Saccharomyces cerevisiae S288C: one gene and its partners. Changing the gene in region 3 together with the main gene of any one other region gives a genetic interaction. Each region holds a gene or a part of one and is shown on either strand. Other genes may lie near its edges.

Evidence for each region.
Region 1: mutations in INM1 (region 3) and CNN1 together harm fitness less than expected from each alone (positive genetic interaction), as found in Saccharomyces cerevisiae (one large-scale study listed by BioGRID).
Region 2: mutations in INM1 (region 3) and ESBP6 together harm fitness less than expected from each alone (positive genetic interaction), as found in Saccharomyces cerevisiae (one large-scale study listed by BioGRID).

The regions. Positions count from the first base shown.
Region 1 is NC_001138.5:242,485-245,926, reverse strand, and holds CNN1 (centromere-binding protein CNN1), read left to right. Parts: upstream 1-1,767; coding exon 1,768-2,853; downstream 2,854-3,442. Other genes in the region: BNA6 (nicotinate-nucleotide diphosphorylase (carboxylating)), read left to right, coding at 761-1,648; MRX20 (Mrx20p), read right to left, coding at 2,928-3,442. UniProt on the Saccharomyces cerevisiae protein: Component of the kinetochore, a multiprotein complex that assembles on centromeric DNA and attaches chromosomes to spindle microtubules, mediating chromosome segregation and sister chromatid segregation during meiosis and mitosis.
Region 2 is NC_001146.8:390,388-394,147, forward strand, and holds the start of ESBP6 (Esbp6p), read right to left. Parts: upstream 1,781-3,760; coding exon 1-1,780. Other genes in the region: NAF1 (RNA-binding snoRNP assembly protein), read left to right, coding at 2,505-3,760.
Region 3 is NC_001140.6:196,759-200,117, reverse strand, and holds INM1 (inositol monophosphate 1-phosphatase INM1), read left to right. Parts: upstream 1-1,832; coding exon 1,833-2,720; downstream 2,721-3,359. Other genes in the region: AAP1 (arginine/alanine aminopeptidase), read left to right, coding at 1-1,378; DDE1 (Dde1p), read right to left, coding at 2,885-3,359. UniProt on the Saccharomyces cerevisiae protein: Responsible for the provision of inositol required for synthesis of phosphatidylinositol and polyphosphoinositides.

The DNA of each region.
Region 1 (3,442 bases), on a different chromosome or scaffold from region 3:
TGATTGTCGGAGATGCCTCTAATGCCAATGCACAGGCTTCCATAAAGTTTTCAAGCATGACAGAAAGCTAACTTGTCTTTTACTTCTTTGTTGGGCACACTTCTCATTTTTAAAAAAAAGATTTCCACCTTCACGATCATATCTGAAATGAACTGAATATTTTGTTCTTGTGAGAATAAACTTGTCTACTAATCGCAAATTTTTCAAGATTAACCTTCCGCACCCATTGAGGTACTAAACTGATCTACCCTACCTTTCCTAAATACCTAATGTCAGGTACATAATGCCAGCGACAGCTCAAAATCACGGGATACTAATTATTAAATAGTAGTAGCTTCTTCTCCACGCACAGTTCGATCGAAGGAGCTAATATTCGGCTTGTCATCTTCCATGGCCAGTAATTTTTTTTATTGTCATTTGGGACTAATGAGATGGAAACTAGAATTGTAGTTATACATCCTGAGGTTTCTATCAACTTGTGTGTCACAACGTTTTATATACTTGAATGCGTAGTAGCAAACCCCGGCAAGACGTAAGTTAACTTGTCAAAGGTACAAGCTTGGTTACAAACAATGTGATATTTCGCTCCAGGATATTTTTGCTTTTGGTGACGCCGGTTGGTTGAAGAGCCCCCATTTATCATGACTCCTACCGCAGTTTTCGTATATCTTGGGCCATAAATTCGAAAATTAAAGACACCACTTAATAACGCAACAAAAAGAACGCAATCCTCAGAAAGAACACACACCAAAAAAAAAAAATGCCTGTTTATGAACACTTATTGCCCGTTAATGGAGCATGGAGACAAGACGTCACCAATTGGCTGAGCGAGGACGTTCCTTCTTTTGATTTTGGTGGATATGTTGTTGGTTCCGACCTAAAGGAGGCCAATTTGTACTGTAAGCAGGATGGTATGCTGTGTGGTGTCCCCTTTGCGCAAGAAGTCTTTAATCAGTGCGAATTGCAAGTTGAGTGGTTGTTTAAGGAAGGCTCCTTCTTGGAGCCTTCGAAGAATGACTCTGGTAAGATTGTTGTAGCTAAAATTACTGGGCCCGCTAAAAACATTCTATTAGCTGAAAGAACCGCCTTGAACATCCTTAGTAGAAGTAGTGGAATTGCCACCGCCTCACATAAGATAATCAGTTTGGCGCGTTCGACTGGTTACAAGGGGACCATTGCGGGGACAAGAAAGACTACACCAGGTTTACGTAGATTAGAAAAGTATTCCATGCTTGTAGGTGGCTGCGACACGCACAGATACGACCTTTCCTCTATGGTCATGCTCAAAGATAATCATATTTGGGCTACTGGTTCTATAACAAACGCAGTTAAGAACGCCAGGGCCGTGTGCGGGTTTGCTGTGAAGATCGAAGTGGAGTGTTTGAGTGAAGATGAAGCCACAGAGGCCATTGAAGCTGGTGCAGACGTTATCATGTTGGATAATTTCAAAGGTGACGGTTTGAAAATGTGCGCCCAAAGTCTTAAGAACAAATGGAATGGTAAAAAGCATTTCCTCTTGGAATGTAGTGGAGGCTTGAATTTGGACAACCTCGAGGAGTATTTGTGCGATGACATTGACATTTACAGCACTAGTAGCATTCATCAAGGCACACCAGTGATTGATTTCTCATTGAAACTGGCTCATTGAAAATGCTTAGGCTTCGATTTTTACTTTTTTTTATTTACATATTCTAAATAAGATTAAGAAGCTACGCGTTACCGATTAATGACACACACGACGATTAGTAACGAAATAAGAAATGAATAATGAGCACTCCCAGGAAGGCCGCCGGTAACAACGAGAATACAGAAGTCTCAGAGATCAGAACCCCCTTTCGGGAGAGAGCCCTTGAAGAACAACGTCTCAAGGATGAGGTACTGATCAGAAATACGCCAGGTTATAGAAAACTTTTATCTGCTTCTACTAAGTCTCATGACATCCTCAATAAAGATCCGAACGAAGTACGAAGTTTTTTACAAGACTTAAGCCAAGTGTTAGCACGCAAATCACAAGGCAACGATACAACTACTAATAAAACTCAAGCACGGAATCTAATAGATGAATTAGCGTACGAAGAGAGCCAACCAGAGGAGAATGAGCTTCTTCGGAGCAGAAGTGAGAAACTGACAGATAACAACATTGGCAATGAAACGCAACCTGATTATACTTCCTTATCGCAAACAGTATTTGCAAAATTGCAGGAAAGAGACAAAGGCTTGAAAAGTAGGAAGATTGACCCGATAATAATACAAGATGTTCCCACGACAGGACACGAGGATGAATTGACAGTGCACTCTCCAGATAAAGCTAACAGTATCTCTATGGAAGTTTTGCGCACGTCGCCAAGCATTGGAATGGATCAGGTAGATGAACCGCCAGTACGTGATCCGGTACCAATTTCCATAACGCAACAGGAAGAACCACTATCTGAAGATTTACCAAGCGACGATAAAGAGGAGACAGAAGAAGCAGAAAACGAAGATTATTCGTTTGAAAACACCAGTGACGAAAATTTGGATGATATAGGCAACGATCCTATCCGTTTAAATGTCCCTGCGGTGAGACGTTCTTCTATAAAACCGCTGCAAATAATGGATCTAAAACATCTTACAAGGCAATTTTTGAATGAGAATAGGATAATATTGCCGAAACAAACGTGGTCTACTATACAGGAGGAATCTTTAAATATAATGGATTTCTTGAAACAAAAAATCGGCACGTTACAAAAACAGGAATTGGTAGATTCGTTTATCGATATGGGTATTATCAATAACGTTGATGATATGTTTGAGCTCGCGCACGAATTGCTTCCCTTAGAACTTCAATCAAGAATTGAAAGTTATTTGTTCTAAAAAAGATACCGTAGAGAAAATAATTAAATAGTGGCAATTTATGTACAGAAAAGAGTAAAAGATCCACAAAATTATCAAGACCTGGAAGAGAAGCCTAGTAACAAACTAACCTGTTCATAAACAGTGAACGTTAAGCCTCCTGAAATACCGACTTTCATAAACCTAAAGATGGAGCCCTTCCAGAATGTGGCCATGCCTTCTTGAACAAATATTCTATACATGCAATTTAAGGTATTTTTATATTCAGTTTTGGCATTTTGACTCATCATCCTTGTTTTTACGACGTCAATGGGCTGAGTCATTGCCACGAGTGTAAAAGATGTGGCTAACCCCGTTATTACTGAGGATGCCTTGTCGTTTCTTGCTTGTAACAACCGTTTAAATGCTGTGTATGCAGTAAATTGAATAGAGGTGTTAGCTATCTGCCTAAATATGGTGGCTGTTGTTCCCTGGACGAACGCAGCAGGGCCTCTTGTTTGATACATGTGTTTTACCGCTGGAAGTAGTTTCTCGATACGAGCCACAGGAGTAGATTTAGTCGCCACCTTGTGAAAGGTTGCCTTTGCGTTAACTACAGGTTGATTCTTCT
Region 2 (3,760 bases), on a different chromosome or scaffold from region 3:
AGCAACCGCAAAAAATTTGTGCATGTAAGTAAGGATTGCTCTTATCTTTCTCCACCGTCAATGCCTGGGCAATCACCTCACAAACCAATAAGAAAGGCGCACCACAGTAGTTGACGAAGGCCCAAGCGGGCAAAAACTCTTCTGGTTTAACCATATCGGCAATCAGAACGGTATTCATGACGTTGGCGACACCAACGCATGAGCCAACTAGAATTGAAAAAAAGATGAGTTGAACAAACGTATGAGCGGGGATCCAGAACGCAAACATATATATTGTTAACAAAGTGGTTAATACGATCGTTACGTTTGCCCTACCAAACTTATCTCCCGCTAAACCCATCAGAGGTCTTCCGATGGATTGCGAGCCGTTCAAAATGGCAGTCAATGTGGAAGCGTCGTGCGATGATAATCCTTTCGAGATTGCGTATGAAGATAAAGTAAAAACCATCATATTGTAGGCAAATAATGCGAACATGAACCATAATGCAATAAGTACCACAAATGGCTTAGTTATAACCTTTAATGAAAACATTGCTTTGAGCTGTTCAAACATGGCCCGAGGCGATTTCAATCCTATGGCAGGTGTAGGGTTTCTTTCTTTTAAGAGCGCAATAGCAACTAGAACACTTATGCTACACGATATGCCTATGATACGAAGGCACCACCGGGTATTTCCAAAGTCAGAAAGCATTTTGTTTGTAGCCAAACCGTAAACGACACCACCAGCACCGGTACCCAATAATGAGACACCCATTGCGACAGCTCTTTTTTTCAAGAACCATCCTGGTAAGACGGTTGTTGCTGGAACGAAAATCAGTGATATTGAACAACCGACCATAAAACCTTGGGTGACATACAATTGCCATAACTTGGTAGTAAAGGAGGCCAAGAGATATGCGGCAAGCATTACAGCATCACCAAAAAGCATGGTGGTCCGCAGACCAATTATTCTCATCAGTGCCATCACAAGGGGGGATAAGAGTTGACCGAGAAAGACAGTTAGGCCAGCAATTAAGGCATAATCGTACTTCGAAGCACCAGGGTAAGTATCATGGTTTAAGTAGTAGGCAAGGTCGACACCGAAGGATGCGTTGCAGCCCCACGTGGAAAACATGGTCAAGAACACACAGAATGTCACGACCCAGCCATAACCACCGTCGGGGGGCAGTTCCAGCTGCCCGGTAGACTTGTTGGTGAATACTTTTTTTACAGTCGGTTCATCAGGCTCGAATTCGGTTATTCCTTGGGCCTCAAGATCCTTACCGGAGTGTTTCGTGGAAGCCGGATATAGTCTATTCCTCATGAGTTTGGAGTCCATGGAAGCTTTATGTTCTGTAGTATCATTTTGAATAGAAGAAGCAGAGAAAGCAGAGGAAGATGGTGCCGACAACGAGGCGCCTGCAGTCGTGGTGTGTGTGACTGGGATGTTTAACTTTGACTGGACTGACTCATTGTGCTGTAGCCTAATGGCATCGGCCACGTCAAATCTAGATTCTAATATTTTATTAACGTCTGCGGAATTTTCTTCCGTCTGCAAGTTGTCGTCATCGACAGCCTTTTTAATGTCGTTGAGCCGATTAGTTAACGTCCTACTAATAGACAATTTTCTCGATGCATCGTTCGACTTGGTGCTGTGTAGATCAGAGCATGGAACCGGAGCAGCAATAGAAGCCTTAGAGAATGATACAGGCTGTGAAGAGTTTATCGAAGAAACCTCGGACGATGTCTCAGAGACCATTCCGGAAGAAGCAGAAAAGTAGTCGTTTGAGTGCGTTGACATTTTTCAGATTTATTTTCAGAAGCCCCGTAATTATACCTAAAGAAAAAGTAAAGAAAAGTGGAGAAAACAAAAGAAAAAGATAAAACTTTTAAATATGTGGTGTGACAAATGCAAAATACTATTCTGACTCGCACATTTAACTAACAAAAGAAAATTTGTCTAAGTCTAGCAGCTTTGGTAGAATATAGAAGAAACAGTCTAGTTTTGGCTCCGATATGAGTGGACAAAGCATCAAGATCTAAGGAATGCCAAGTATTTATCCAGGTTCTCCCGAAGACTTTTCTTCAATAGCGGCGGGGGTTTTTTTTTTTTGCAGATTGCCGAGATAGCCCGCGGCAAAGATACGTTATCTCGGTTATCGTCGGCAAGCGCTATTGTAACTAGATATAGGAAACTGTGGTCTGCAAAGATGCGGTATAAGGCCTCCGTCTGTTCTTACTGCGTTATCAGCCTTTGACAGTTTTAGTTCGTCAGGGTCTTTGACCAAATGATAAATTCCCTGGTTTACATTTTCACTAGTTTGTTCTCGAGCAATGCTTAGTTGGCACATAAATGAGTCAGGCACTACCACTCGGGTAACGGTCTGCGCGTTTCTTTTTGCGGCCATGAAATTTTTCAGGCGATGAGCTTAAAGGTAAAGGAAAAAGATGGTAGGATGATAGGTAGGATGAAGCGGTATGAAAGTGGAAGAAGCACAATATAGCACGTCGAAACAGTGCTAATCATGAGCGATGACTTGTTTTCTAAGGCTTTGGAGAATCCCGACCAGGACTTGAACGTGGAATTGCCCAAGGATGATGTTGATTTAGGTCTTTTAGGTGATGGTGGGAACGAGAGGAAGACCGATGAACCGGTAGCAGACGCAGAAAGATCAACAGGCCTAGGATCCGGCTCTTCTGAATCCGAATCAGATTCCGGTTCTGATTCTGATTCTGATTCTGGCTCTTCAGGTAGTGAGGATGATTCTGCAGATCAGGACGTTGAAGGAGAGGACGAAGGTGGTGACGCGATTGAAAATGAAGACGAAGACGAAGACCCTTCACCTTCCGGTCCTATACTATCGAAGAACGAAATACTAGAGGAAACTGTTCCTGAACTACCGGAAGATTATGAAATTTCAGAAAAAACGATCATCACTCCTATTGGTGTTTTGAAGTCTGCATTTGAAAATAATATAATCATTCACGCCACGATGTCGGGCGAAAAGCGTGTTTTAAAAGAGGGTTCCATTTTCTGTCTCGAGGATAGAACTTTGATCGGGATGTTGACGGAGGTGTTTGGACCCTTGCAAAACCCATTTTATAGAATTAAGTTGCCCGATTCAAAAAAAAACTTATTCGATGAATTAAAAGTGCGTTTGGGTGAGAAAGCCTTTATAGTCACCCCTGATGCCCACTGGATAGATACTTTCGAGTTAAAGCGCAACAAAGGTACTGATGCGTCTAATGGGTACGATGAAGAATTACCTGAAGAGGAACAAGAATTTTCCGACGACGAAAAAGAGGCCCTTTTCAAGAAAATGAAGAAACAGCAACGGCAACGAAAGAAAAGGGACAACCGCAAACTAGCCAACGATAGTGACAATGTCAAGGTAAAGAGAGCTCGGCAGCCCAAGGCCAACAGTTTACCTAAACTGGTACCGCCGTTGGGCATGAGCAGTAATGCTCCGATGCAACATGGGTACAAATCAAGAAACGCACGTGAAAATATCAAGCGTGAATCCAGTGCTACCTCTAATCGGAATGGCTCCTCCCCAGTGCCAATCACACAGCACCACCAACAACAGTTTTCTGCAAATAATTATCCCTTCCCTCAACAACCAAACGGTATGCCTTATCCACCATACTCACCTTTCCCTCAGCCGACTAACTTCCAGTATCCACCTCCACCATTTGGGCAGGCGACACCGGCCCAATTCTCCAACACTGTTCCATATGGTAGCTTACCTCCCGCATACAACAATATGTCGCCGCCAACACA
Region 3 (3,359 bases):
ATGGTTGGGTGAAGAGACTTTTATTAAAGGTGTGTCCCAATACCTGAATAAATTCAAATACGGTAATGCAAAGACCGGAGATTTGTGGGACGCCTTAGCAGATGCCTCTGGCAAGGACGTTTGTTCGGTGATGAACATCTGGACAAAACGTGTTGGTTTTCCAGTGTTATCTGTCAAGGAACACAAGAACAAAATCACATTAACTCAACACCGTTATTTAAGTACCGGTGATGTTAAAGAAGAGGAAGATACAACCATATACCCCATTTTGTTAGCTTTGAAAGACAGTACAGGTATCGATAACACATTGGTATTGAACGAAAAATCTGCTACTTTCGAATTAAAGAATGAAGAGTTCTTCAAGATTAATGGTGACCAATCTGGTATTTTCATTACCTCTTATTCTGACGAAAGATGGGCTAAGCTATCCAAACAGGCAAATTTATTATCCGTAGAGGATCGTGTTGGCTTAGTCGCAGATGCAAAAGCCCTTTCTGCATCTGGCTATACCTCTACTACTAACTTCTTGAATTTAATTTCTAATTGGAAAAACGAGGATTCATTTGTTGTTTGGGAACAAATCATTAATAGTTTATCCGCTCTGAAATCTACTTGGGTCTTCGAACCAGAGGATATATTGAATGCTCTAGATAAATTTACTTTGGATCTAGTACTTAACAAACTTTCTGAATTGGGGTGGAATATTGGCGAAGACGACTCCTTTGCTATCCAACGTTTAAAAGTGACCCTTTTCAGTGCCGCATGCACTTCTGGCAATGAAAAAATGCAATCGATTGCGGTAGAAATGTTTGAGGAATACGCCAATGGGAACAAACAGGCCATACCTGCACTGTTCAAGGCAGTTGTTTTCAACACCGTTGCCAGACTTGGCGGAGAAAACAATTACGAAAAGATTTTCAACATCTATCAAAACCCTGTTTCGTCAGAAGAAAAGATTATCGCTTTGAGAGCTTTGGGCAGATTTGAAGACAAAGAACTTTTAGAAAGGACATTGTCTTATCTGCTAGATGGTACAGTTTTGAATCAAGATTTTTACATCCCAATGCAAGGCATTAGAGTTCATAAGAAGGGTATTGAAAGGTTATGGGCTTGGATGCAAGAACACTGGGACGAAATTGCTAAGAGATTACAGCCAGGCTCGCCTGTGTTGGGTGGCGTGTTGACATTGGGTTTAACTAATTTTACCTCTTTTGAAGCCCTTGAAAAAATTAGTGCGTTCTATAGTAGAAAGGTCACTAAAGGTTTTGATCAAACCCTGGCTCAAGCCTTAGACACTATTAGATCCAAGGCGCAATGGGTGAGCAGAGATCGTGAAATCGTTGCTACCTACTTGCGTGAGCATGAGTATGATCAATAGCTTTTTTTTTTCACGAGCACCTACAACACAAATATATACATATGCCAATGAGTCAAAACCACGTGTAATTAATAAAGAGATTACTACTTGCTTATGTAGAAATATAGTAGCTAGCAGAAAATGAATCTGATAACATCTTCATTGACACATTTCCAAGTATAGAGAACTTTCTTCTGCTTCCTTTCGGAAGAACTGAGTGAATATTGACTGGCGTGCGTCATAGCGAGATTTTTTCATCTGATGATGTATGGAAAAAAAAAAAAAACTTTTTTTTGAATAATGGATGCATCGAGTGACTTTCATTGTTGCGCACGTTGCTTTTCCAAAAATGGTATTAATATAGGTCTTTTATCTCTTACTTCACATTTAACTGCTTGTTAAATAACCCCAGTGTTTTCTTTTTTTTGGATGAATAAGGAAATCAACAGCTGGTACACGCATATACACATATACCATGACCATTGATCTAGCTTCTATCGAGAAATTCCTCTGTGAACTGGCTACTGAAAAAGTAGGACCAATCATCAAATCCAAGTCCGGCACTCAAAAGGATTATGACTTGAAGACTGGCTCCAGGAGCGTTGATATTGTAACTGCTATCGATAAACAGGTCGAAAAGTTAATTTGGGAATCGGTAAAAACCCAATATCCAACTTTCAAGTTTATTGGAGAGGAAAGTTATGTGAAAGGGGAGACCGTGATTACTGATGATCCTACCTTTATTATTGATCCAATTGATGGGACTACAAACTTTGTTCATGATTTCCCATTTAGCTGTACCTCTCTTGGGCTCACAGTAAACAAAGAGCCCGTAGTAGGCGTTATATATAATCCTCACATTAATCTTCTGGTATCCGCTTCTAAAGGAAATGGGATGAGAGTTAACAACAAGGACTATGACTATAAATCAAAATTGGAATCTATGGGTTCTCTAATACTAAATAAATCCGTAGTGGCATTACAGCCAGGTTCCGCTAGAGAGGGAAAGAATTTTCAGACAAAAATGGCCACATATGAAAAATTACTATCATGTGATTACGGTTTTGTTCATGGATTCAGAAATTTAGGATCATCTGCAATGACAATGGCATATATTGCTATGGGGTACCTTGATAGTTATTGGGATGGTGGTTGCTATTCGTGGGACGTGTGTGCTGGATGGTGTATTTTGAAAGAAGTGGGCGGTCGTGTAGTAGGTGCCAATCCAGGTGAATGGAGTATTGATGTCGACAATAGGACATATTTGGCTGTGAGGGGAACAATTAATAACGAAAGTGACGAACAAACAAAATATATCACAGACTTTTGGAACTGTGTTGATGGCCATTTGAAATATGACTGATCGTCAGCACATTAGGCCTAATATAAAATGTACGATTAAAATGACAGTTATTTGAATCATTTTAGCTGATCACAGGGATATAGAAGGTATTGGTAGTAATAATAATAATGATAATAATAATAATGATAATAATAAATAATAAATAATAAAGCGATAGATAATGCTCATTGATTATAGATGTATAAGCAACCGTCTTGGCCAAATAGTCCAAAAACGCCAACTAGAGGCATCCATCCTTCACCTCCTCCAAACCTTTCAGCTAAATGCAAAGCTTTCTCTAAACGATCGGACTCTACTGGTTTACCTATGCTAAAACCACGAATACATAACATACCCTGCTTCTTCTCTATGTTCAAATGAGGGTTTGTTTCCGTTTCTACCATTTTTCCTTCTAATGTTGTACTTAGTGTTCCATAACATACAACGTTATCGTCCACAGATTTTCCAAAAACCCTATAGTCATAAAAATTGGTATGTGCCACAGGTCCCATGATAGCGTAGGGACAATATAACTCGAGGACTACACGGGATCCTAATTGAGCTCTTATTTTATTCAATTGTTCAGTGCTTGGGGTGATTCTTCGGTTAGTCTTTTTTAGCTGAGGAATTTTTTCAGGAAATGTCGAAATAACCTCAGCA